Linked DNA regions of Rhinolophus ferrumequinum. The protein of the gene in region 1 purifies or fractionates together with the protein of each later gene. This does not show direct contact. Links are inferred from orthologs where the notes say so. Each region holds a gene or a part of one and is shown on either strand. Other genes may lie near its edges.

What was found.
Region 2: the proteins of WWP2 (region 1) and AMOTL1 purify together in Homo sapiens (affinity purification with mass spectrometry; 3 studies listed by BioGRID and IntAct, counting the BioPlex papers as one, with this or other methods). This does not show direct contact. The link is inferred for Rhinolophus ferrumequinum from reciprocal best matches to the Homo sapiens genes WWP2 and AMOTL1.
Region 3: the proteins of WWP2 (region 1) and POLR2M purify together in Homo sapiens (affinity purification with mass spectrometry, with the first as the bait; 3 studies listed by BioGRID). This does not show direct contact. The link is inferred for Rhinolophus ferrumequinum from reciprocal best matches to the Homo sapiens genes WWP2 and POLR2M.

The regions. Positions count from the first base shown.
Region 1 is NC_046298.1:18,773,884-18,781,768, reverse strand, and holds the start of WWP2 (NEDD4-like E3 ubiquitin-protein ligase WWP2), read right to left. Parts: upstream 3,007-7,885; 5' UTR 2,923-3,006; intron 2,752-2,922; exon of another isoform or gene 2,731-2,751; intron 1-2,730. Other genes in the region: RNA-binding protein NOB1, read left to right, coding at 7,465-7,527, 7,615-7,747. UniProt on the Homo sapiens protein: E3 ubiquitin-protein ligase which accepts ubiquitin from an E2 ubiquitin-conjugating enzyme in the form of a thioester and then directly transfers the ubiquitin to targeted substrates.
Region 2 is NC_046294.1:65,529,844-65,537,083, reverse strand, and holds the start of AMOTL1 (angiomotin-like protein 1), read right to left. Parts: upstream 3,054-7,240; 5' UTR 2,881-3,053; intron 1-2,880. UniProt on the Homo sapiens protein: Inhibits the Wnt/beta-catenin signaling pathway, probably by recruiting CTNNB1 to recycling endosomes and hence preventing its translocation to the nucleus.
Region 3 is NC_046289.1:51,654,161-51,661,942, reverse strand, and holds the start of POLR2M (protein GRINL1A), read left to right. Parts: upstream 1-4,729; 5' UTR 4,730-4,881; coding exon 4,882-4,994; intron 4,995-6,745; coding exon 6,746-7,393; intron 7,394-7,782.

The DNA.
Region 1 (7,885 bases):
CGCGACCCACGCCGTCCTTCACCTGGATCCTGGCAATACCTCTGAACGTGTCTCCCTACTTCGTCTTGCTCCTCTTTACTCCTTCTCTGCATGGCAACCAGAGTGACCCGGTTAAAAGGCAGGATGGATGGTGGCCACTCCACTGCTCAAAACTCAATGGTCCCAACTCACTCCGAGTGAAAACTAACATCCTTACAATGGCCTGCAAGGCTCTCCCCCACCCGCCCATCTCTTTCCTTATCCCCAACACCTCTCTGACTCATCTTCCCCATCCCGTCTCACTCATATCCCTGCAGCTGCTGGCCTCCTGGATGATCCACAAACCTGCCAGGGGTGCTGTGTCTTTCAGGCTGTTGAATTTGCTGTTTCCTCTGCCTGGACCACTATGTCCCCATTCAGCCACATGGCTCCTTCCCTCACCTCCTTCAGATCTTCACTCAACCATCACTTTCTCAAGAAGTCTTCTCTCAGGACCCTAATTCAAAACTGCCACCCTAGCCAACATTCCACATCCTACTTCCCTGCTTTATTACAATACAATATGCATTTTACTGGATTCTTTTGTTTACTGTGCCTTTCCCCACTAAAATTTACTGTCCACAAGGGCAGGGATTTTTGACTTTCTCATATATTCTTTCACCGGTGTTTAGAACAGCACTGTGCAATACAATTCTTAATTTTCCAGAAAACATTTTAAAAAGTAAAAAGAAACAGGTGAATTTAATTTCAATTAATACTGTGATTAACCCAATAAACTTAAAATGTCATCATTTATACTATATATATTGATATTGATATTTATTCTAATATAAAAAATATCAATGAGATATTTTATCTTTTTTCCATATTAAGTCTTCAAAATCTGGTGTGTATTTTCTACTCATAGCATATTCTCAGTGCTCAACAGTCCCAGGTGGCAACTGGCCACCATACTGGACAAGGCAACTCTAGAACAATGCCTGGCGTAAAGTAGGCACTTATATATATTCATTGAATTAAAGAATGCTTTCCCAGGAAAAGGCGGCTATAGCACTGCACAGAGTTTTCTAAACTTCAATTGCATTCTGCATTCACAATTTTTGCTGTGATCTACATACTGCTTTTTTTCCTTAAAATGTCATGCTTTTTATACTTGAAAAAATATTTTAAAATAAAACTTTATATTGCTTCTATGAATGGAAAAGAGTGGATCTAAGGATAAAAGCCCTGGGCTGGAGTCCCTGCTCATTCATTCAGTAGCTCTGGACTCTAAAGCAAGAATTTTGCTAAGCCTCAGTTTCTTCATCTGTAGAATAAGGACAATACCAACCTTTACAGGACCATGGTGAGAATTAAATGAGATGCTGGTTATAAGTCTTTGTAAATGGAAAGTAGTCGTTAAGTAAGAGACTGAGGAGCTAACCCAAACCTTTTCCCCAGGCCTATGGTCTTCAGATGGACCAATAACAGAAAATGGCAAGTCTGTCTAAGAGAAGAGCCAGGTCCTGAGTTCAAATCCCTTATCCTCCACATACATCCACGTAACCTTTAGAAATTCATTTATTCATTTACCCAGTGCCCACAACATGCCAGGCACTAGGCTAGTAGCCAAGTAAGCTGAATAAGATGACCCCAGCACTTGAGGGGTTGCAGTCTAGCAGGGAGAAAGAAACCAGTAAACAAGATAAATAAATTGTTTAAAAAAAAAAAAAGAAGTCATCTCTTAGGTCTGTTTGTTCATTGTGAAATGAGAATAACACCTTCCCAACCTAACTCACAGGGCTGCTACAAAAATCAATTTTAAACTGTCAAATATTCCAAAAACTTGCAATCATAATACATTAGCAAAGTACTTTTTTTTCCTACTTGTCACCCAAAATGACTCTGGCTCCTGTGAATGCCCAGTTTGAACATTCACTCCAGTGATACCACATTCACGAAATTTATTTCATTGCTGCAAATTTTAGTAAACACGAAGAAAAAGACGATGAACAGCTTTTCACACAGGTGTTTAATCTCAAAATCACGATCTAGGTCATCGTTCTGAAGAACACAACACAGACCTTTCAGTTACCCTACCTAGTTACAGTTTGTCAAGATAAGCAGTCACATGGTAAGAGAAGCTGAATAATTTAAACTGAAGAAAGAGGAAAAGTCATAAAGCTGTAGAGGTAGACACTGTCCAAGGTTTCAGCAGTCGCTATGTTGCTGAGGTAACTGCTGAGCAACAGTTTAAACTAAAAGCCATTTTATGGCCAAAGTGCCCACACTTTTTTTTTTCAGCCTAGAAGTTGATCTAACCTGGGAAAACCTCAAAGAAAGATTATCAGAAGGGCTAGGTTCCCAAGAAGTGGAAACCCTATCCAGGCAGGACTAAGTGCGTGTGACGAAAGCAAGAAAAGATTCTGTGACCCATCCTAAAGTTTACAAACTGAATGGGACCGAAATCAAAGTCTCGGGTAGCAACCCGAGGAAAGAAGGAAGAGACTCAGCTGGGGTTCAAGCAGCATCTTCCTGAATTCTCCTTCTTTCCCTCCATGTCCTATGCCCATTATCAGGCTCCCCCTTCCAGTTCAGTCGCAAGTTGCCCCTTCCTCCCGTCCCGACCCTTCCTCAAAGGTCACCCCTCTCTATCCCTGGCACCTAAACTCCCTTCTCCTTCCCGAGGGACTTGCTGTCCGCCACCGCACCCCTGGCCTCCTCCGTGCCCATCTCAGAGCAACCCCCGCGAACAGCCCTCGGCGCGCCCACCGCGCCAGAGCCGGAGCCGGGACACCCCTCCTCGGAGGCCGGAACCGCCGCGTCTGGCCCCTCCCACAGGAAGCCACCGCCCCCCGGCGCCCGGGCCGCACCGCCCCCGGCCCACCCCCAGCCGCCCGCAGCCCCTGGCCCGCCCCGCACCCCCCGCGCGTCCGCCTCGCCCCCCGCGCCCGCGCTCGCTACCTGCCGCGGCCACAGAATCCGCGCCCAACTCCTCTCCCACTTCCGCCTCCCACCGCCCGCACTCGGGCTGAGTCACGTGCCCGCTTGCGGTCACCTGACCCGGAAGAGGCTGGCCGGACTCGCAGGTGCAGGCAACCTAGGCCTGGCCTGGGAGCCTTTGGCCGAGAGAAGGCCTTCTTACCCCTTTTATATGTGTAAGTGGGAGCGTTTACCACTCGCTGGACGGCTCCCAGGCAATCAAATAAATTGAGGGCTCACTGAGTGTCAGGAGTTTCATATACTCCTACCTACAACCCCGGAGGCGGGTCTATCATTAGCCCCACTATACAGGTGAGAGGAAGCCGCTCAACAATTAAGTCATCAAGTATTTATTGAGCTCCTTAGTGGGATTGTCAGATAAAATACAGGACGTCTGGTTAAATTTGAATTTCAGATAAACAACCGTGTAATATGTGTGTCCCAGATAGTGCATGGGACATATTTATACACACACAAAATGTTTATCTGAAAATCAAATTTAATTGGCCATACTGTATGTTTGCTTGCTTTATCTGGCAACCTTATGCCTACTATGAGTCAGGCACTGTTGTAGGCTTTAGATACACAAAAATCCTTTCCTGATCACACTATGTAAAATAATTTAAAATAATTTAAATAGGATGATCAGGAAATTTACATAGGGTGATCAGGAAAGGATTTTTGTGTATCTAGAGCCTACAACAGTGCCTGACTCATAGTAGGCATAGGGTTGCCAGATGAAGCAAGTAAAAATACTCTCCTACCGGCCCCTTTTCCTGCTTTATTTTTTCCTCCATATTTCCTCCAGTCTTATCACTATCTGACTTTTGTATGAATATTTGCATGTGTGTAGGTATGTACGTATGTACATAAAATACATATGTAAAATCTATTTCTCACTACAAGAATTATGAAGGCAGGAGCTATATCCCAGTGTAGTGGCTAAAACAATACCCATTTTTTACCTCACACAGGTCTGAAGTCCAGGCCAGCACAGCTAGGTTCTTTGCTCAGCGTCTCACAAGGCTGAAATTAAGGTGGCGTCGTCAGCTGGAGGCTTGACTAGGGAAAGATCTGCTTTCAAGCTCCTTAATATTGTTGGCAGATTTAACTTCCTTGTAGCCAGAGGACCGGAGTCCCTTGGTCTTGCTAGCTGTTGTCTGTGGCCACATGCAGCTCCTAGAGGCTGCTCTCAGGTCCCTGAGACGTGGCCCCCTCCACAGACCTTCCAAACTCGGGAAGCCTCTTGAAATAATTTGTTGAATGAATACATTTCAATATTTATTGAGCACTGAACTCATTGCTGTAGGTCCTACAGTGTAAGAGATTTTTTTCATTTAAGGATAAAGATCCCTAAAACCCATTCCCTGACTTCCAACCTACTTAAAGACAACAGACAACTACATTGCAAAGCATAAATAATAACTGCTCGCTGAGTGACAGAACTGAAATGTCTTAAATGTGGTGGAAAAGCAGAGTTCAAATCTGTCCTTGGGGAAAAATCTAATTTGGGTAATCAGGGACCAATTTACAGAGGGGACAATGGGCCATTTTTGGAAACTAAGCAGTGATTGGCAGGCAGAATTTTCAGGAATAAGAAAAAACAAGGGCAAAGGCAGAGACAGGAAAGTCCAGAAGAATTCTAAGAACATTTATTGATTTCACAGTGTTTCTTCTGCATCAAGTTCTCTCTCCCCTGTTAAGCATTTAGTCTCATAGCCTCTACATATTTCAATCCTGGAAACAAACTCGGATCTTCACTGGCACACAAGCAATACCTTCTCTTTCATAAAGGGTTTCTTCACATGTAAAAGTTGACATCTCCAAATGAGTTACACATTGATTCCTTCTACATGTACTTGAAAGTGTTAATTTGTTCATGTAAACACAATTTTCATAATAGCGTGTGAGATTTCTTTGCTTTTTAAAAACCGGGAGCTTCAAAACAGTGAAGTGTTTCGGGGCTCACTTCACCTCTGAGAGACCCTGTCCCCAGTCACCATGTCCTACCATAGGCTCTACCTTCAATTCCATGAACACCCCTTGGACTTTCCTATCTTGATGGCTTTGCCCTACTCATCCTTCCAGATCCATCTCCAAAGTCAAAAACTCTGAAGGTGTCCCTAGATGCTACAGAAAATATGATTTTGTTCATAGCTGTCATGTCACCCACCCTATGGTGATATAAGTTAGTTCTCAATACATAATTGTTAAATAAGTGAGAGTCCTTCTAAGGCTTTAGGGGGCTTGGAGACTAATGTTCTAAAGAAACAGAAAAGAGATTCAATTCTATTAAAAAATGACAAAAGCTACAAAGTGTCAAGAAACCTTTTAGAGGCATGTCTCATTTTATTGCTCTTCATTTTATTGCACTGCAGAGATACTGCATTTTTCACAAATTGAAGGCAAGACCTTCCATCAGCAAAAAAATTATAACACTTTATTATGGTACTCACTTTATTTCAGTGATCTGGAACTGAACCTGCAATATCTCCAAGATATGCCTGTGTATTAATAAGTATTCTTAGTATTTACTAGAAAATAAATGGCTCAAAGCCTGATCATTCTTTTCCTTTTTCCCTAATCAGTGGTTCTCAAACGTGTCCTCCAAAGGAGCAGCATCCGTATCACCTGGAAATTATTAGAAATACAAAATCTCAGGCCCTGCCCAGAACTACTGAATCAGGAACTGAGAGTGAGACCCATCAAGCTGTGTTTGCAGGTTCCCCAGGTGATTCTGACAGTCAAGTCTGAGAACCACTGATCTAAATCATTCTTCTTCCTTGTGGGGTTTACTCAATTATCGCTGCCAAGTTCAATGAACCTCTTTATTACAGATTCTAGTTCCTCCCTTGCTTTTTAGGCTACATGAGCAATCAATTGAAGAAGAAATTAGACAGGAATACTAGCATTGAGTGTATTATATTTATTAGGCATGAGATAAAAAGCTTGATTAGAGTAATGAATGTAGAGGGGACCCAGACGCCCCATACATTTCAGAAGTGACATCAATAAGGTTTAGCAAGAGAAACACAGGTTGAGAGAGAGGGTGGAAATGAGGTGACTCAGATGCTTACCTTGAATGTCTTTGTTGGTAATGCCTTTTAATGAAAATAGAAACCTTAGTATTGGAACAAAGTTTAAGCTGGGGCGGGAGAGATAATTACTTCAGTCATAACCTTCCTCCTAAGTGAAGATGCCAAAAGTTTTCAGATGATATAAACAGGGAATAAACAGGGATTAGACCTAAAGATTTGGGAGGCATTCCTATAATGTGATAACTGAAGCCTTGAGGATAGATAGTATTGCTGAAGGAGAGAGTTTAGAGAGACAAAGGGGCCAGACAGTTCTGTGGAGGGGGTCCGGTTTGCAAGGCAGAAGAAGGGAGTCCAGTAAAGAAGGATGAGAAGCCATCAGGGAGGGAAGGGACCAGAATCTTGTAGTATCACCCAAGTCAGGCAAGGAGAGACAGTCCAGAAAGAGGAGATGGGCTGCAATGTCAAATTCTACAGAGAAACTGAGAAGGCAAGAAAAAAATACCAGAAAATTGACATGATGAACTCGAAAATTAGAAAGCTTTCTATCAGGCTATTTTAGGCAGGGCAGGCAGGGCAGGAACCAGTGGCTCTGGAGGTTGAGGAGACTAAGTAAGAACAGTTCAGACAGATGTCTAGGGAAGGGAAAGGGGTTTGGGCAACTACTGAAGGGGACCTTCAGGGATTTCTGGAAGTAGGATGCATAAATTAGAAGGGAGGGCTAAGACTGGATTGAAGACTTCACAGAGGTTTGGAATAACTCAACATCTCTGAAAACTGATTACTGAAAACTCAAGTCAACATTCAGCTGAAATTCACCAGCATGAATTTATAATAGGCCAGTTCTCCTAATGATGGAATCTCAGATTGGAAAGGGAATTCAGAAATCATCTAATACCCCTCTTCAGTTCGATTCAGCAAGGAATTATTTGCTAGCAAAGTGTGTGTCTTGCTTAGGGAAGTGGAACGAGGATACTAAGGTAAATAAGGATATTAAGGTAACTTGGCCTCAAGTTACTCAAAAGGAAGTGGGGGTACGTAAGCAGCAGTCAGTATAGCATAATGGGTAAAAAAGAGGCTCCGAGTTGGTTTGTCTGGGTGTTAATCTCAGTCACAACCACTTAAGCTGGGCCTAGTTGTCTTGTAGCTATCCCTTGATCATTAAATTGGGTTATGTGTATTGACTGATTTAACAATGAGAATATATACAACTTTCACCCTTAAAAGTGGAAAAGGAGCTAAGGAGTGAGTGCTGCAGCGTATTTCCTTAGATGTACCCCAAGGTTTAACCGTGCCCGCATCCCGTGGTTGTGCTGCCGGCGTCGTCGCGCATGCGCGCGGGTAGTCCTGAGTCGGGGGATGCGGGTGCGGCCGCCAGGCGGCGCAGCTAAATCGCAGCTGCTCTTCCCGGCTCCCGGACGCCCTGAATGGGAAGTAGTGGTGAGCGCCACCTCCGTGCACATGCGTGTTTGGAGCTGGTTCGGCCAACATGGCTGCCGTGGAGCATGTTGTGGCTGATGCGGGGGCTTTCCTGCGGGACGCGGCTCTGCAGGTACTGGGAGCTCCGGTGGAGAGGAGCAGGGTGTGGGCTGGAGCGCGGGAGGTCAGGCGGCTGTGAGACGGGCCGGTCTCTCTGCAGGACATTGGGAAGAACATCTACACCATCCGGGATGTGGTCAGCGAGATTCGGGACAAGGCCACGCGCAGGCGACTCGCCGTTCTGCCCTACGAGCTGCGTTTCAAGGAGCCCTTCCCGGAATACGTGCGACTGGGTGAGTGCCTCTGCCCCGGTGCTGATGGCGAAGCTGGGTCCCAGGGTGCAAATGAGACCGGCTCGGGTAGGAGTTGGGGTCTGGCTACTTTATTAGTTGATTTAGAAACTGCAAGTTCTAGGAGATCGTGGTGGGAGA
Region 2 (7,240 bases), on another chromosome or scaffold:
CTGGGGCTTGCTTGTACCAATGTGTAAGAGCTGATTCTCTGTATTTCTTGCCAACCTGCGTTCAGTGTTGTCACTTTGGTAGCTTGAAATCAGCCATGATGAGAGGGAGTATTTTTACCATGACAATGGGAAAACGCTACAAATCAGGGTTTCTTTGTTTTCCCTCCAGAAAGCCATGTTACCAGCACATGACTTTACATGGTGGCTGGCTTCCCCAGAGTTAAAATAGGCTTTAGGGCCAAGAAATTCAGGAGGAAGCAGCAAAGCTTCTTAGAACTTATTTGGGTGTCCCCAAACGTCACTTTCTTCTTATTCTATTGGCCAAACAAGTCCTTAAGGCTAGCCCCAATTCAAGAGGAGGAGAATGATCTCATCCATGTCCCATGGAAGAATAGTAAAGAAATTGTATAATATAGGACCCGGCACAGAATCAGTGCTTAATAAATCCTTGATGAATGAATGAATGAGTAAATTCACATAAGCACTAATCTGTATGTCCTTAAGTCACCCTAAAAGTATAAAACCTGGGAAGTTTTATTTCATCATCAGAGAGGTCAATGATTTTTAAGTCCTCAAAAAGCCTAAATCTGAATTTGCCTGATGTAGATCTATTTACACTCTGTCTGCAGGTATTCACAGACCGGTTTACTCAGGCCCTCCCTGCTTATGTACTCAGCTGGTACTGTCCACATGACAATGGCAGAACGCTTGTTTTATAGGTGTTTATATACTCTTTGGGTTTGCTTTACCACCTTAAGTAAACTGCAAATTCCTTAAGAGAGTTCTGTGTATTTTTTGCCACTCTTTCTTCCTACCATGCCAAAAACAGATAATTATACATACACACATACTTACAAGATATGTGATGATTAGAGATTATAAACCTTAAAAGGGAAGGGAAGAAGGAGAGGAACTAAACATTCTTAATTGCTATGTTTCAGAGCATTTCATAAATGTTCTCATTTAACTCTTGTCTTCACCCAGAAAAGTAGACATTCTTATTTCCATTTCACAGTTCGGGAAAATGTGTCTCCAGACGGTGTAGCCATCTGGTCAAGGCCACACTAGGAAGTGGAGGAACTGGGATTCAAATGTAGACCTGCCTGGTTCTAAGGCCTGAACTTCATGCATTCCTCAGGCCATCTTCCCACTGCAATACACATCCCCCACCAGCCCCCATTCTCTCTGCTTCCCTCCTTGAAGTATCTACAAGAGTCATAAAAATGTTGATGCTTCTAAACGTGATAGGGAAACAGGTGTTTCAAGTTCTGCTCTTGTAAAAAAAAAAAGAGAGAGAGAGAGAGAAAAAGAACGTCCTTTAAAAGCTTGGGAAGATAAGAAGCTCAAAACATCTTATATTGGGAAGAGAGTGAGCCTAGTAGCAGAGAAGTCAACCAAAAGGCTATTGCAATAACTCAAACAAAGAGTGTTGGTGGGTTGGACCAAGGTAGTAATGGTGGGATGGATAGATGTGAAAATTTTGAGCGATATTAAGACAGAATCAGCAGACTAGTGATTGATTGGATTGTACAGGTGGAATCACCTCGCTGCACCAGGAAAGTAAGACTGAAGAGAGGAAACCTGGATGGGAGGTTTCTGGAAACCTCCTGGGAAAAGATGATAAGAACTTAGTTAGGAAAATAGCCATGGAAGTGGGAGAATGCATGGATTTGAGAGACAACATAGAGGCAGATCTGCTGGATGTGCTGCCAAACTAGATGAGGGAATGTGAGGACAAAAGAGGGGTCAAAGGTGAAGTCCAGAAATCTGTTATTGACAACCAGGTGCTTTTTACTGAGGTAGGGACACAGAACGAGGAGCAGATTTCAGGTAAGAATGAATTCTGGACAAGCGAAGTATGAGGTGCACGTGTCAACAAACGCTGGCAGGCAGTATGTAATTGTATTTAAAACAAAACAAGCTTCTCTTGTCTAATGAGATTCTTGCTCCCTTCAGAGGTTAAGGATGAACGAACTGAATACTATGTAGTAGGGTTTTGTGTCAGCTAATACAGGGCCTTACAGTTCTCTATGTTTTCACTTCACAGTGATTCAACTCTCTCCAAAAGCCATTTATCACCCCGTAGTCCCCTCTGTCATAACCAAGATGTCTTTATTGAGCTTTTCAAAGCTAATAAGAGCTATATGATTCAATCAGCGACTACGACTCAAATAACTCACAGAAAACGTTGCAGGGAAGTAACCCTAGGACCTCAGACCTGCCTGCACACGCACACACACACACACACACACACACACACACACACAAACTCATGTTCATTTTCTTAGAACTTGTATGGACAGGCACGAAGACGTGTTTGCACATTTCTGCCCCACATAGCAGCACAGCCATTGTTCACACAAGGTGCCTACATGTCAGGACAAGATTGCCTCCTGCTATACTCTGAGGAAGACGGGAAGTGTTCAAGCCAGCAAATGAGCACATGAAGGCTCTCCAGAGAGCTGCTGCATTTCGGCACCTCAACTTTTGTCATGAGACCCTATGAGAGTTCCACGCAAAACACAAAGCCAGTAGATAGGAAGGCAAAGGGGGTAAGACAGCCCCCACCCAGAGGAGACCACCTGTAGGTGCTTCACCAACATGCTGGTTACACAACTCTTAGAACAGGCACCTGAAACCAAGCCGAGATTCAGTTTTCATGCCCACTGTGAGAACTCGCCACTGCCCCTGAGCTCTGCTCACCCAGCCCAAGTCCTGCCAGCCCACCAGGTGGACACCAGCTGCCTGGGAACCAGCCGTACTCCTCAGACAATCGATTGTCTCCTAACCTGACTCCAACTTTACCCAGAGATGCCCAAAACACTTCCCCTCAAACCAAGCTTTCCTGGATGGAAACCCACTAAATAAGAGCTTCCTTACCTGAGAGAAGGTCCCAGTGATCGGCAGTGGAAAAAAACACCAACTTCTAACAGAAGTGACAGGGACTCAGAGGGCAAATCTGTTGGTTTTAAAAGAAGAAAGGTGACTTCATCCCGAGTGCCGTGGAGTTTAAAAGAGCAACGAGTGCTCCCTGAGTGAGCCAACTCTGCCTCATCAGTGATGACTCCATCCAAATTATGCAGCCGCTGCCCAGACACGCTCAGCCTCCAGAAGGTAAATCACTGGAATCTGACTAGCCCTGTTGTTTTCAAAGAGCTTCAGAAAGTCCTGAAGCACCAATCGCCTGAAATGGGCGGCACCGGGATAGAAAAACCACTTAAGACTTAGTTCCTGAGTCGTATCATTATCTCCCAGGAATCCAACTGTCTGAAAAACAGCTTCTAGGGAAAGAAAACAGGTATTTAAATTCCTGAGAGATAAATTTTTGCAGGAAGCGGGGAGAGAAAAGAAGCAAAGTTATTTCAGTCTGGACAAGGGGCATAAGAAGCTGGAAACGATCACCTTGCTAAGAATTTTTCAGAGCTGGTAGATTTATAAGCATACAAAGGTGACAAACAGGTGACAGTCTTTGCAGAGAAGGTGGTCAGGTAAGCACAGGGGATCAGTCAATGTATGGAAAGAAATTGTGACAGCCTTTCTAAGAAGGCAACTCATTTTTATTTTCTTTTTATTGACTATAAAAAGTACCACTTAACCAATTTGGGGTCATTTATAATATTATGAGCTAATGTTATATCAGCTCAAAACATGCTCACCTTTCCCAAGATGGTTTACGACAAGAGATGTTTCAGTAAGGAATTTTCTCTTTTGTATGTTAAAGGGGAGGCTGGAGCAACTGGATGTATAACCAGGGATTCAAAGTCACGTCAAGCTACCCACGAAGCCAGGCACCTCTCCCTGATGCCACAACCTTGGGCTAGACTTTGGGCAGGCTTTCTGGCTGTGGTGCCAGGGCAGAGAAGGATAATGCGTGTGACCTCTGTTGAAAGTGGGGCAGGCAGACAGTCAAGCTTAGTGACCCAGCGCCCTTTCCCTCACACCTCTACTTCAGCAGAGTACACGGGGACTTTGGGTCAACAGGCATGTGTCCAGTTTCTTGCTGAGCTATTTTGAGACTCTGGGATCTTCTTGTGTCAAATAGAGAGAGGAAAACAAGAAAAAACCATCTCTTTCTGTTTAGATAGACGTATGCAGTTTCAACATTAGAAAGGGGTTTTTGAATTCAGAGATTTAAGAAATGTCAACATGGCTTATAAAAGGAACCTGCAAGTCTTCTGGTCAGGGCGTAAAGAATGATCAAAGTAGAAGAGGAACAAAGTTTAATCAATAGTAAGATCCATAAAAGGGCAGGGGCCATTTTTATTCACTTGATCACAGTATCCTCAAAGCCTAGCACAGAGAGTAGCCCACATAGGCGCTCAGCAGGTAGAGTAAACAGTGGCAGGCAGCCTCTTGCTGTTCAATTTCTAGAACAGATATGGTGAGAACTCTTAAAGTCACCCTCTGGTAAACAAGGCAATTACAGAGAGCACAGCCATTGAATCTTATGGAATGCAGGAGGAACTTGGCTCTTTGCTTTGCCTCAGCCTCCAGGTTCCTTGAGAGTAGAACAAAGAAAAGCAGTTTCTGGACCCAGAAGCCTCCTTTGCCTACCCTGATCCCCTATACATCAGCTAGACTCTAATGTCCTTTCCTAAGGCAAGACTCCATATAATGGGCAATCTGCCAAGCACCTTCAATTATCGTTTGTTTTCAACATTCTATCACAAAATTTTCAAACTTAAGAGATGCATTGAAAGAATTTCACAGTGAACACCCATATACTCATGTAGTTTTTTCAGTTAACGTTTTTTATTATATTTGCTTTATCATATATTGATTCTCTACCCATTTCTTTATCTATCCAGCAACTCATTTAATTACTTTTCTCATTGTGTTCCAAAGTAAGCTGCAGATATTAATACATTCCCCCTAAATATTTCAATGTTATTAACCAGAGTTCAGTATTTGTTTACAAATATTGTTTCCAATGTTCTCATACCATTTTCGCCTCCTACCAACAATGTTTCAAAGTTTTAGTTGATTTACATCGTTCCAACATCTGTTGTCCTTCTAATACCATCCATGCAGGTAATGTATGTGGTATCTCATCATTTGCATATCCTTAATTACTAAAGCTGTTGAATGTTTTTTCATGTGCTTATCAACCATTCATTTACTATCTTCTGTTCAAATCTTTTGGCTATTTTTAAGTTGAGTTGTTTGTCATTTTATTCATGGGTTTTAGGAGTTTTAGTATATCTAGGATACCAGTCCTTTGTCAGACACAATTTGCAAGTATTTTCTCCTGCCCTGTGGCTTGCCTATACATTTTCTTAATAAGGTTTCTTCTGATGACCAGAAGTTTAATTTTGATTAAGTCTAATTTCTTTTTTCTTTTTTGGTTTTTGTCTTCCCCCAGTCATGAAAATATTCTCCCATGTTTTCTTCTAGGAGTTTTATAGTTTTAGATCTTTTCTCTACGTCTATGGTCCATCACTAATTGATTTTTGTGGATAATATGATGTAGGGCAAGGTTAGTTTTTTTTCCATATAAATATGTAATTATTTCAACACCATTTGTTAAAAAGACTTTCCTTTCCCAGTTGGGTTGCTTTGACACTTTTGTCAAAAATAAAATAAATGTGTAAGTGCGGGTCTATTTCTGGGTTCTTTATTTTGTCACTCTGTTAATCCTCTGTCAGTACCACACTGTCTTGATTATTGTAGCTTTAGGGTAAGTCTTGAAGTCAAACAGTGTAAGTCTACAAACTTGATTTCTTTTTTCAAGACTTCTTGAGTATTCTAAATTCTTTGCATGTCTATAGAAATTTTAGAATCAGCTTGTCAATTTTGACTAAAAAGCATAGTAGGAGTATGACTAGGATTGTACTGAATCTGTAAATCAATTTGGTAATTGACATCTCAACAACATTGAGTCTTTCAATCCATTAATTTAGTATATCTCCCTATTTATCTACATCTTTAACTTCTCTCAGCATTTTTATTGATTTTCTGTCATTGATTTTCAGCAGTTTGACTATGATATGCCTAAATACTTTTACTTTTATTTTGTTTGTTTTTATATTAATTTTGCTTTATTGAGGTTTAAGAGTCTGTTTAGACTTTAAATTTTTTACCAAATTTATGAAATTTTCACCCATTATTTAGTCACATACTTTTCTGCATCATTCTTTCTCTCTCTCCTAACCTTCTGGGACTCCAGATATATATATATATATATATACACACACACACACACACATATGTATGTATACACACGCGCGCACACACACGTACGGTACCAAAAAATATGTATACACATTTTAAGAAAGAAAAAGACTGTATTAAAATTATGCTGATGGTAACCACTTGGAGCACCTCTTGTATTCTCAGAAGTCAAACGTGACTTGTATTCATCTTTTGTTATCGGTATATATTGAGTATTACAATTTTCATACAGTTTTTTCCTTTCTTAAAATGTGTATACATTTTTTTGGCACCCTGTGTGTGTTTATGTATGTAATATAAAATCTTCTGGGACTCCAGTTGCATTATATACATATATATATATGTATGTATGAAACTTTTTGATATTGTTGCAAAGATCTATGAGTCTCTGTACATTTATTAAATCTCTGTTCTTCAGTTTGGATCATTTCTGTTGACTACTTTCTAGTTCACTGACTTTTTGCTCTTTCATCTCCTTTCTGCTTTTAAATATGTCCACTAAATTTTCATTTCAGCTATTTGTTTTTCAGTTTTTATACTTTCACTTAGTTTTTTTTATAGCTTATTTATCATCTAAGATTTTCTATATCTTCATTATGAACATATTTTCCTTTACATATTTGAGTATATCTATAATAACTTCTTTAAAATTCTTGTCTGCTAATTCCATCATCTAGGTGATTTCAGATTTGGTCTCTGTTGATTGTTTTTTTTCTTTAAAATGAGTCATATTTTCCTGTTTCATTGTAAATTGAATAAGTTGTATCCTGATTATGAATGATATGTTGCAGAAAGTCTGGATTCTATTATGCTCTTCTGATGAGTACTGACTATTCTTTATTCAGGCCTTTTAAGTAGCTGACCTCAAGTTGCAAAACCCTGTCTCCCCTGTAGCAGCTGGGATTTCAATTCAGCTCTTCTAGCTGAAGCTTCTTAAAATTGGCCTCTTGCATATGTGGTTCAGGAGTTGGCCAGAGATCTGGGCAGAGTTGCTCTGCATATCACAGACAGGGCCCTATTCTTAAGCTAAAAGCTGCAAATCAGGAAACTCACCCAGGCCAGTCTGTTT
Region 3 (7,782 bases), on another chromosome or scaffold:
GTCCTCTGGGGTCTTCCTACGACCCTAAACTCACTGCTGTGACACTCTCTCGGATCTACTCTTTCTCTCTGATTGCTCAAAATTCTTCCCACTTTTTTCCCTTTCTCTCCTATCAAATTCCATTCTTTCACTGTAAGTCATCACCTCAGCTAGGCTTTTGTAAGAAAGTTATTTGGAACAAATTCACACTCATGTGTAAATGACTGATAGGCCACAAGCCTTCTAGAAGGACCTATGGTCTCCAAGGAAGATCCGGGTTAACCAAATAATTTTATTGGTGGAATCTCAGCCAATATGTCAAAGGGAAGTGAAATAAGTCAAGCGGGGAGGGAAAGATGTTTTAAATCTTGTTTAAGATTCTGTCTTCTAAACTGAGAGGAGGGGGCCTCAGCTACGTAGTCTCTACCAAAGATCAGTACATGTGATCTTTCGAGGACTTTTTTGTTCTGGTTTGTGAGTTTATTCATAGGAAAAGTCATAAAAAGATGTTATTCAATCACAATAATATTCATTAAATTTGCTAATTAAAAAGTAAAATTAAATGAAATAAAAAAATATCAAACATTTAATAATGTTTTTTTCCTAAATGATCTCCCACACTATCAAAAAGATCATAAAACACTGTGGTGGCCTGATAAAAGAGATTTGTCACCAAACAACACTCAACCATGTGAAAGACTGAAAAGAAAAAAATTCTTTCAATTTGAACCTTATTTGGCTGGGATTTTTCTCACCAGAGTCTTCCTATTTTTTTTCCATGGGCAACTGCCCTCTTGATTAATCCCATTTCCCTCAGTCTTAGTTTTTCCAAGCAGCTGAGCAAACAAAGATGCAGGCGGCCATTTTAACGTGCTTCCTCTCTCCAGCCCTCTGGGATGGGCCGGCTGTTCATCCTGTTCATAAACCAACAGCCTGAATGTGCTTGGAGAAAGCAGCAAGGATCTTCTGTCAGGATTAATTTTAATAGGCCACAGTCTGTCACCTGGGAACCATAGCTCTGGCAAATGGCTTTAAATTACTATTTGCTGATAAAGAGTGAGATATGAGCTGAAAATTTGGTCCCTCATTTTAAACAGTTTGGATAACTAATGCAAGAATTTACTTTCAGTGTAGAGTACATGTTCTTTACAGCCTGAATCCTTGAGTAGCTGAGGAAAACCTTTTGTTGCAGTGGGGTCACAGTGAAATACAAAGAGGGGAAATGTGACATTTTATAGAAGTGTAGAATTTTAGAGCTGGGAGGGAAATGAAGAATTTGTGAATTCCTCAGCACAAAGCTTCCTCCGAAGCTTTCTGTTTCTGATTTCTGTGTAGAGAAATGTTATCCCTCTTACTATCCCTTCCATTTTTTTGTCTTCCTCTTCACCAATTCCTTTCTCTCTCCTTTTTCTTTTTTTCACTTTGTTGATCTCATATCCAGTTCCAACTCCCTGTTACCTTCCTTACTTTCTCTTCCCTAACTTGCCAGGCTCCTGTCAGTTATTTGTGAAGTTCTGCACTGATGGACAGAAAAGGCAGCAGGGTGAAGTAGGGCTAGTCCCCTCTGTGAAGTAGGGATAGTCCCCAGTGCTCTGTTCATCTGAGAAAGCAGTGAGTGAAAGGAGTGACTGGAAGAGGAGGTTTGGTAAATGGTACACAGATGTCAGCCATTATTGTTTAATAAAGTCTTAGGCTACCATTCTTTATTAAGTTTCCAGTAGCTATGGCTGCTATGGTTTGTTTGAAAGTTCAGCATGTTCCATTCCCAAAAGGATGTTTAAAAAACACACCAAAGAAAATAGAATTTTCTTCGAATTTGTTTATGACCCTTGGTTCCCATCTCTTCTCCATGTGGCCAGCAGACCAAAAGGTAGCCTTCCCTCTCCTCAGTCGGCTCTATCACCTTGAAGTCCAGACATCAATCAAGCCTTGATTTTCCTAACACATTAGTGCTATTGGACTCTCTTATTAGTCAGGGTTCTTCAAAGAAAAAGATCCAATAGGATGTGTCTATGTGTGTGTGTGTATAATCATATGAGCCAATTTCTTAAAATACATTTCATTTTAAGGACTTGGTTCATGTGATTATCAATGCAGGATAGACCAGCAGGCAGGAAATCCAGGGGAGAACCACTGTTGCAGTGCAAGTATGAAGGCTGTCTGCTGGCAGAATTCCTTCTGTTCGTGGGAGGTCAGTCTTTGTTGTAGTAAAGGCTTAATTGATAGGAAGAGGTCCACCTACATTATGGCAGGTAATCTACTTTACTGAAAGTCCACTGATTTGAATGCAAATCTCATCCAAAAAATACTTTCACAGAAACACCTAGAATGTTTGGCCAAATATCTGGGCACTGTGACCTAGGCAAGTTGACATGTAAGATTAACCATCACAGACTCCTTTGCTGATAATCATTGTTCCTAATGAACCTGTCTGGTTCTGATATCTGCCTATCCTCTCTTTTAAATTCTCTTTTGGGATGAACCTCCCACTAACCATTATTCTGCTGCCAAGTTCCGCTACTTGGCAGGAATCAGGCTAAATTTTTCATTTACACTTGCCTCACATGTCACAGCTAATATGACCACACACCACTGCCACCCTGGGCATTTCTAATCAGAGAGCCCGGGCATGCTTCTGCCTGGCCCCCTGTGGTACTCCCTTCCTACCCTCCAATGATCCCTACATGGTGGCAAGACCACCTCTGAATGCTGAGAGGCCCAACAAATGTGGAATCGAACACTTCCAGTCTTTACTACATTGATATTGGTGTTTCCCACATCAGTATTCCAAGTGAGGAAAGCAAAATTAGATATTTTTAAGGGCAGCTTAGGCTACAGGCAGGAAGATCTTTTAGGAGCTATTATAGTAGTTCACTCAAGGGCTTGGACAAAGACAATGGAGGCAACAATGGGTGTATGGGGAAGTGCTGAAAGGGTGGCAAGAGGGAGAGTGTACAGAAAAGAAGGTACTTGGGCTGTAGGATTTCGTAATCAGTTAGGTGGAGGGAAAAAGAATAGTCAGGTATGAATATCTAGTTTCTTGTTTGGACAACTATGTGGATGGTCTTGCCATTAAACAGTGAGAATTTTAAAAACAAAGAGTGGGTTAGGGGAGGAAATTTTTAGTTTCGAACAAGTTGAAGCTGAGAAATCTTAGGGATATCCAGGTGGTAAGGTCCTTACCCTGACTCTAGTTCTAGCCCCAGAACAAATACTCCAGATTTGAAACTCCTGGAAAGATTGGTAACATGGAATTCATGGTATGAGTGACTTTTGAGAAAATGGTCAACAGGATCAGATGCAGCAAGGAGAAAGACTAAAATCTGTCCCTTGGGTTTGGCAACCAGGAGAGGGTTCATGGCACTGGTGAGAGTGGTGAAGATCTGCCGGAGAGTAAGTCTTTCAGGAAGCTAATCTCTGAAGAGAGGGGCACTTTTTACATCTTTATTGGGGGGTATAACTGACATGCTATAGACATTGGACATATTTTAAATATACAATGCAATAAGTTGTGACTAGCTAAGTCCAAGGCCTTATTCAAGTATTTATTTAGCTAGGGCTGGAGCAGGCTATTGAAGTCCTTGAAAGCAGGGTTTAAGTTGAGAATTTTTATACATTAGTTAATCTCATCAGAATGGACAAGATTGGGAGGACACAGAAATGGCTTCAGCCATGCTCCCTGAAGTAGCTTCAGATTTTTTTCTAGAGCTTCTCTAGTTAGGAGGGATTGCTTTTGTCTATTATAGCACCTTACATTGAATTTAGAAAATTAAAGTTTCCATATCAAAGAATGGGGAGGCAGTGTTGGAAGTTATGGGGGCATTCATACCTCCCAATTGATATCTACTGTGTCTCTTTCATGCTTCTTCCTTTTTCCTTTGGGACCCAACTCTGGTAGCTGAACTATAAAGAATAGGTTAGAGCTGGGTGCGATGCTTATTACGCTGCCTTCCTCTTCTCAACAGCCTTAAAAAAAACTTTTCAACAATTTTAAACACTTGGAAATAGGCATACAGTGAAAACGGAGACTTACAAATTGGTGTCCTAAAAAGAGCAGGTGGGCATTTGAATTTGAACTCTAGTGTTTTCACTTAACTAGTTTTGTGCGCCGGGAATATTTACTTCAGTTTCTGTGCCTTTGTTTTTCTATAGGCAAAATCTGAAATTGTGAAAGAGAGGTTCTCAAGCCAGACATCAACTATCTTGCAATGCCTGAGGCAGTACTGCCCATGATTAAAGTCCAGCTCCAAATGCCAGAGCCCCATGAAGGAACGCTGATGGTCCCTAAGGGTCCTTTCAACTTTAACTTTTGAAAACATCGCAGCCTTGGGTTAAGGAGGCGCCACATCATAGACCAGGGCCTCCCAAGCCTCGTCCTGCACGTTACCCCAGCCTCTCACCAAAGGCTAACTCGTCACTCAGGTTTCGACCTACATTTCACTTCTTAGAAACACCTTCTTTGGTCCTCACACCAATCTTACTATTAATATTGTTTTATTATTACTTGATTAATGTCTGCCCCCTCCACCAATCGGTAAACTCCGTAATAGCAGGGGCTGTGGCGATTTGTTGAGGTCACGGTGGCACTCAGTAAATACTTTTTAAATCAACAAATGAGGGGATGAACAGAGAAACGACAAACGGCGCGAACGCACGCCCCACCGGGGCGTGACGTCACCCGCCGTAACTTCCGCTCCTCCGGGCGCCCCCTTCTCCTTGTCCGTGTTTATTTCCGGCGTTTCAATAAAGCTCGATTCGGCTCGAAGAAGACCTGTCCTTCCGGGAAAATGGCGGCTCCCGCTCGTGCTCCGCAGTCCCCGCCGGCCGCAGATCCGGTGCTAGCGGCGGGAGCTGCCGAGGAAGCCGAGTGCCCGCCGCCTCGCCAGCCTCAGCCCCCGCAGAATGTCCTCGCAGCGCCGCGGCTTCGAGCCCCAAGCTCCCGAGGGCTTGGGGCAGCGGAGTTTGGCGGAGCTGCGGGAGATGTTGAAGCGCCAGGAGAGACTTTTGCGCAACGAGTAAGCTGGGGTCCCGCCGAGTCACCGCCAGGCTCCTCCGGTTCAGGTTCCCAGGGACGCACCTCCCCCCGCCCCCCACCCCGTTCCCTTCCCCGGAAGGTGACCTTGTCTCAGACAGCTCCGTTCCAGCCCCGCGGGCGAGCGGACGGCCTGCAGCCGCCAAGCCGTGCGCGTTCTGGCCTGGCGCGGCCCGCCTGTGGGGGCGGCTCGCTGCGGAACGGCGCTTCAGGGTATCAGCTCTTCTTTAGCTCCTCGTTGGTGTATTGACTCAGCTACCGAGTCGGTTCCCTGAAGGGCGGGTCTGTACCTCGATCCTTTTGTTCCCCACCCCCGCCCCCATAGCGTGCCCAAAACAGCCTGTCAGTTTCATCCCTAGGGACTATTTTTATAGGAACCGTTGGAAATGGAAAGAGTGGGATTGAGGAGTGGTTTATTAGGCAGAAAAAGTTGAACTTTCATTCGTTGGCAGACAATGCGCTTTAGCAGGGAAACGATATGATGAAAGTGATTTATTTTAGGAAGCCTAATTTAGCAGCTTGGTGCAAGATGCTTTGAAGGAGTAAGAGGCAGAAGACAGTAGGAAGATATTTTCAAAGAGTTTGCCAACAAGGAGTTTGTAAGAAAGTGAACTATAAAAGTAGTTGAGGAGTTGGGGAACTTCATCAGACTTGGAATAATTTGAATAGGTTGTTGACAGGTGGCTGAGGATTGCGGCCTGTATGGAGAACTATTAACCACAGGAAAATTGGGGGAGGGGAATAGATTCCAGGTTGACTTGACTTAGGGCGTGCTGAGTTGAAGGGAGAGTTAATTATATCTAGTTAAAAGCTGGAGAAATGGTCATGAGGCTCGAGAGAGGAGAAAGCTTGGAAAATAGAGGAATCTCAACTGGAGGGGATGTTATCAATTGAAACTGTGGGAATGAAAGTAGTTTCCGAGGAAGAATAGAGGGCCTGACATGTAACCTTCCCTCCCCATTGTATGGCTAAAGACAGGGGAATCAGAAAAGGAACTCTGTCCCTCAGCAAATAGGACACATGATCGTTTGGGGGCTTCCTAGTACAAGCAAATATTTTGACTTTGTGAGAATGGATTTTTAATTTGTAACAGCGAATTAACTTGGTGTCAGGACTCCTTTCTATGCGTAAGTCTTATTGAGTATTCTAAAGAATTCTTGTTTTATGTGTGTTATATCTGTGGACATTTGTCAATGTATTAGGAATTACAAGTGAGAAATCGTAAGCACAAGAAAACACAAGTTCATACATTCTGTTAGCCAGCAGAGCAATGGTAATCACATGTCCTGTGGCCTCAGGAAAACTCCACTCACCCATGTGAAAAAAGGAGAGTGAAAATTGGTAAATAGTGTCTTAGTATTACTACGAAAATACTTTTGACCTTATAGACCCATTCACCTCCTCTCCCCAGGAAGGCCTTAGAGATCATACGTTAAAAACTGGTGACTTCTGGGATGTCTCACATGAGTATTATATGCTTAAAATACTTTTGCTGAAATTCTAATTAGAGGAGACAAATGAGGCACATTCCCTATTCTTCCTTGATCTGCTTGTTTTTTGGGGGCGGGTATTTGGATAATGACTGTCTTATTTCATTCATGTTTCGGGGCAGTTGGAAATCAGATTTTTGACTTACAGATTGATTTTTCTCCCTTTGAAGATAGTGCTTTGTCATTATATCTCAAGTTTAAAAACATGGCTCTAATGTATATGTGTTTTTTTTCCATTTGACAGAAAATTCATTTGCAAATTGCCCGACAAAGGTAAAAAGATCTTAGACTCTGTTGCCAAACTGAAAGCTGCCATTGCAGAACGTGAAGAAGTTATGGAAAAAAGTGAACTGTTTCATCCTGTTAGTTTAGACTGTAAACTAAGGCAAAAAGCAATTGCCATTGTTGAGATGGACACGGATAAATTCCAGAATTCTGACAAGATACTTGATACTTCATCACGAGTTCCTGGCTGTTCCTCTGTAGATAACATCACATCATCTGAAACAACCTCACAACAACAAGGACTTGTATCTTCTACCCAGAAAGGCGATGAAGAGGCCCCAGAGTTGGGGTACACGGTGAACAAGCGCCCAGCCCCCAGCAACAGAGCCCATGCACCTTCCTTATCCGAAGCTAGTGGTCATCTCCCTCAGCATCGAGTGTCAAGTCGAGCAGAAGATAATTCTAGCAGCTCTGACAGCTCGTTTATTGATAGGTTACAAAGGATCACAATTACAGACCGAGGTGAACACCACTCAGAAGAAAACGGGAGTACTGAGAACTTGACAGGCCTTTGTAGTGAGATGCAGAAGAAGCCTCATTACATGGAAGTGCTAGATATGCGAGCCAAATACCCAGTGCCCTCGCCACATAAATTTAAAACCAATGTGTAAGTACCATCAAAAACAGGCCAGTCACAGGAACATACTATTTGTTAAACTCAAAAAATTGGGAGAATGCTTTAAGTTCAGTGGACTTTGTGTGAGAACTACTTGTAGTGGGGAATGAGCATATGTGGAAAACAGTGAGACCAGCCTGACTGGAGTGGAGGATTCATGTTGAAAAATACTTTAATATTTAGCCAAATAATTGAAAAGGTTTTAAATAGCAAGTGGAGTATTAAATTTCAGGACACTTAGTCAGTATTTCATAATAAACACAGAGAATTTACTGTGACTCCTTTTTTCCCAGAATCATTTTCAGGTATGCAGTTCCCCCTTTGATTAGACTGTCAGCTAAGGAAAAAGGAATTGTAGGAGCTGGTAGACTTTCGCAGCA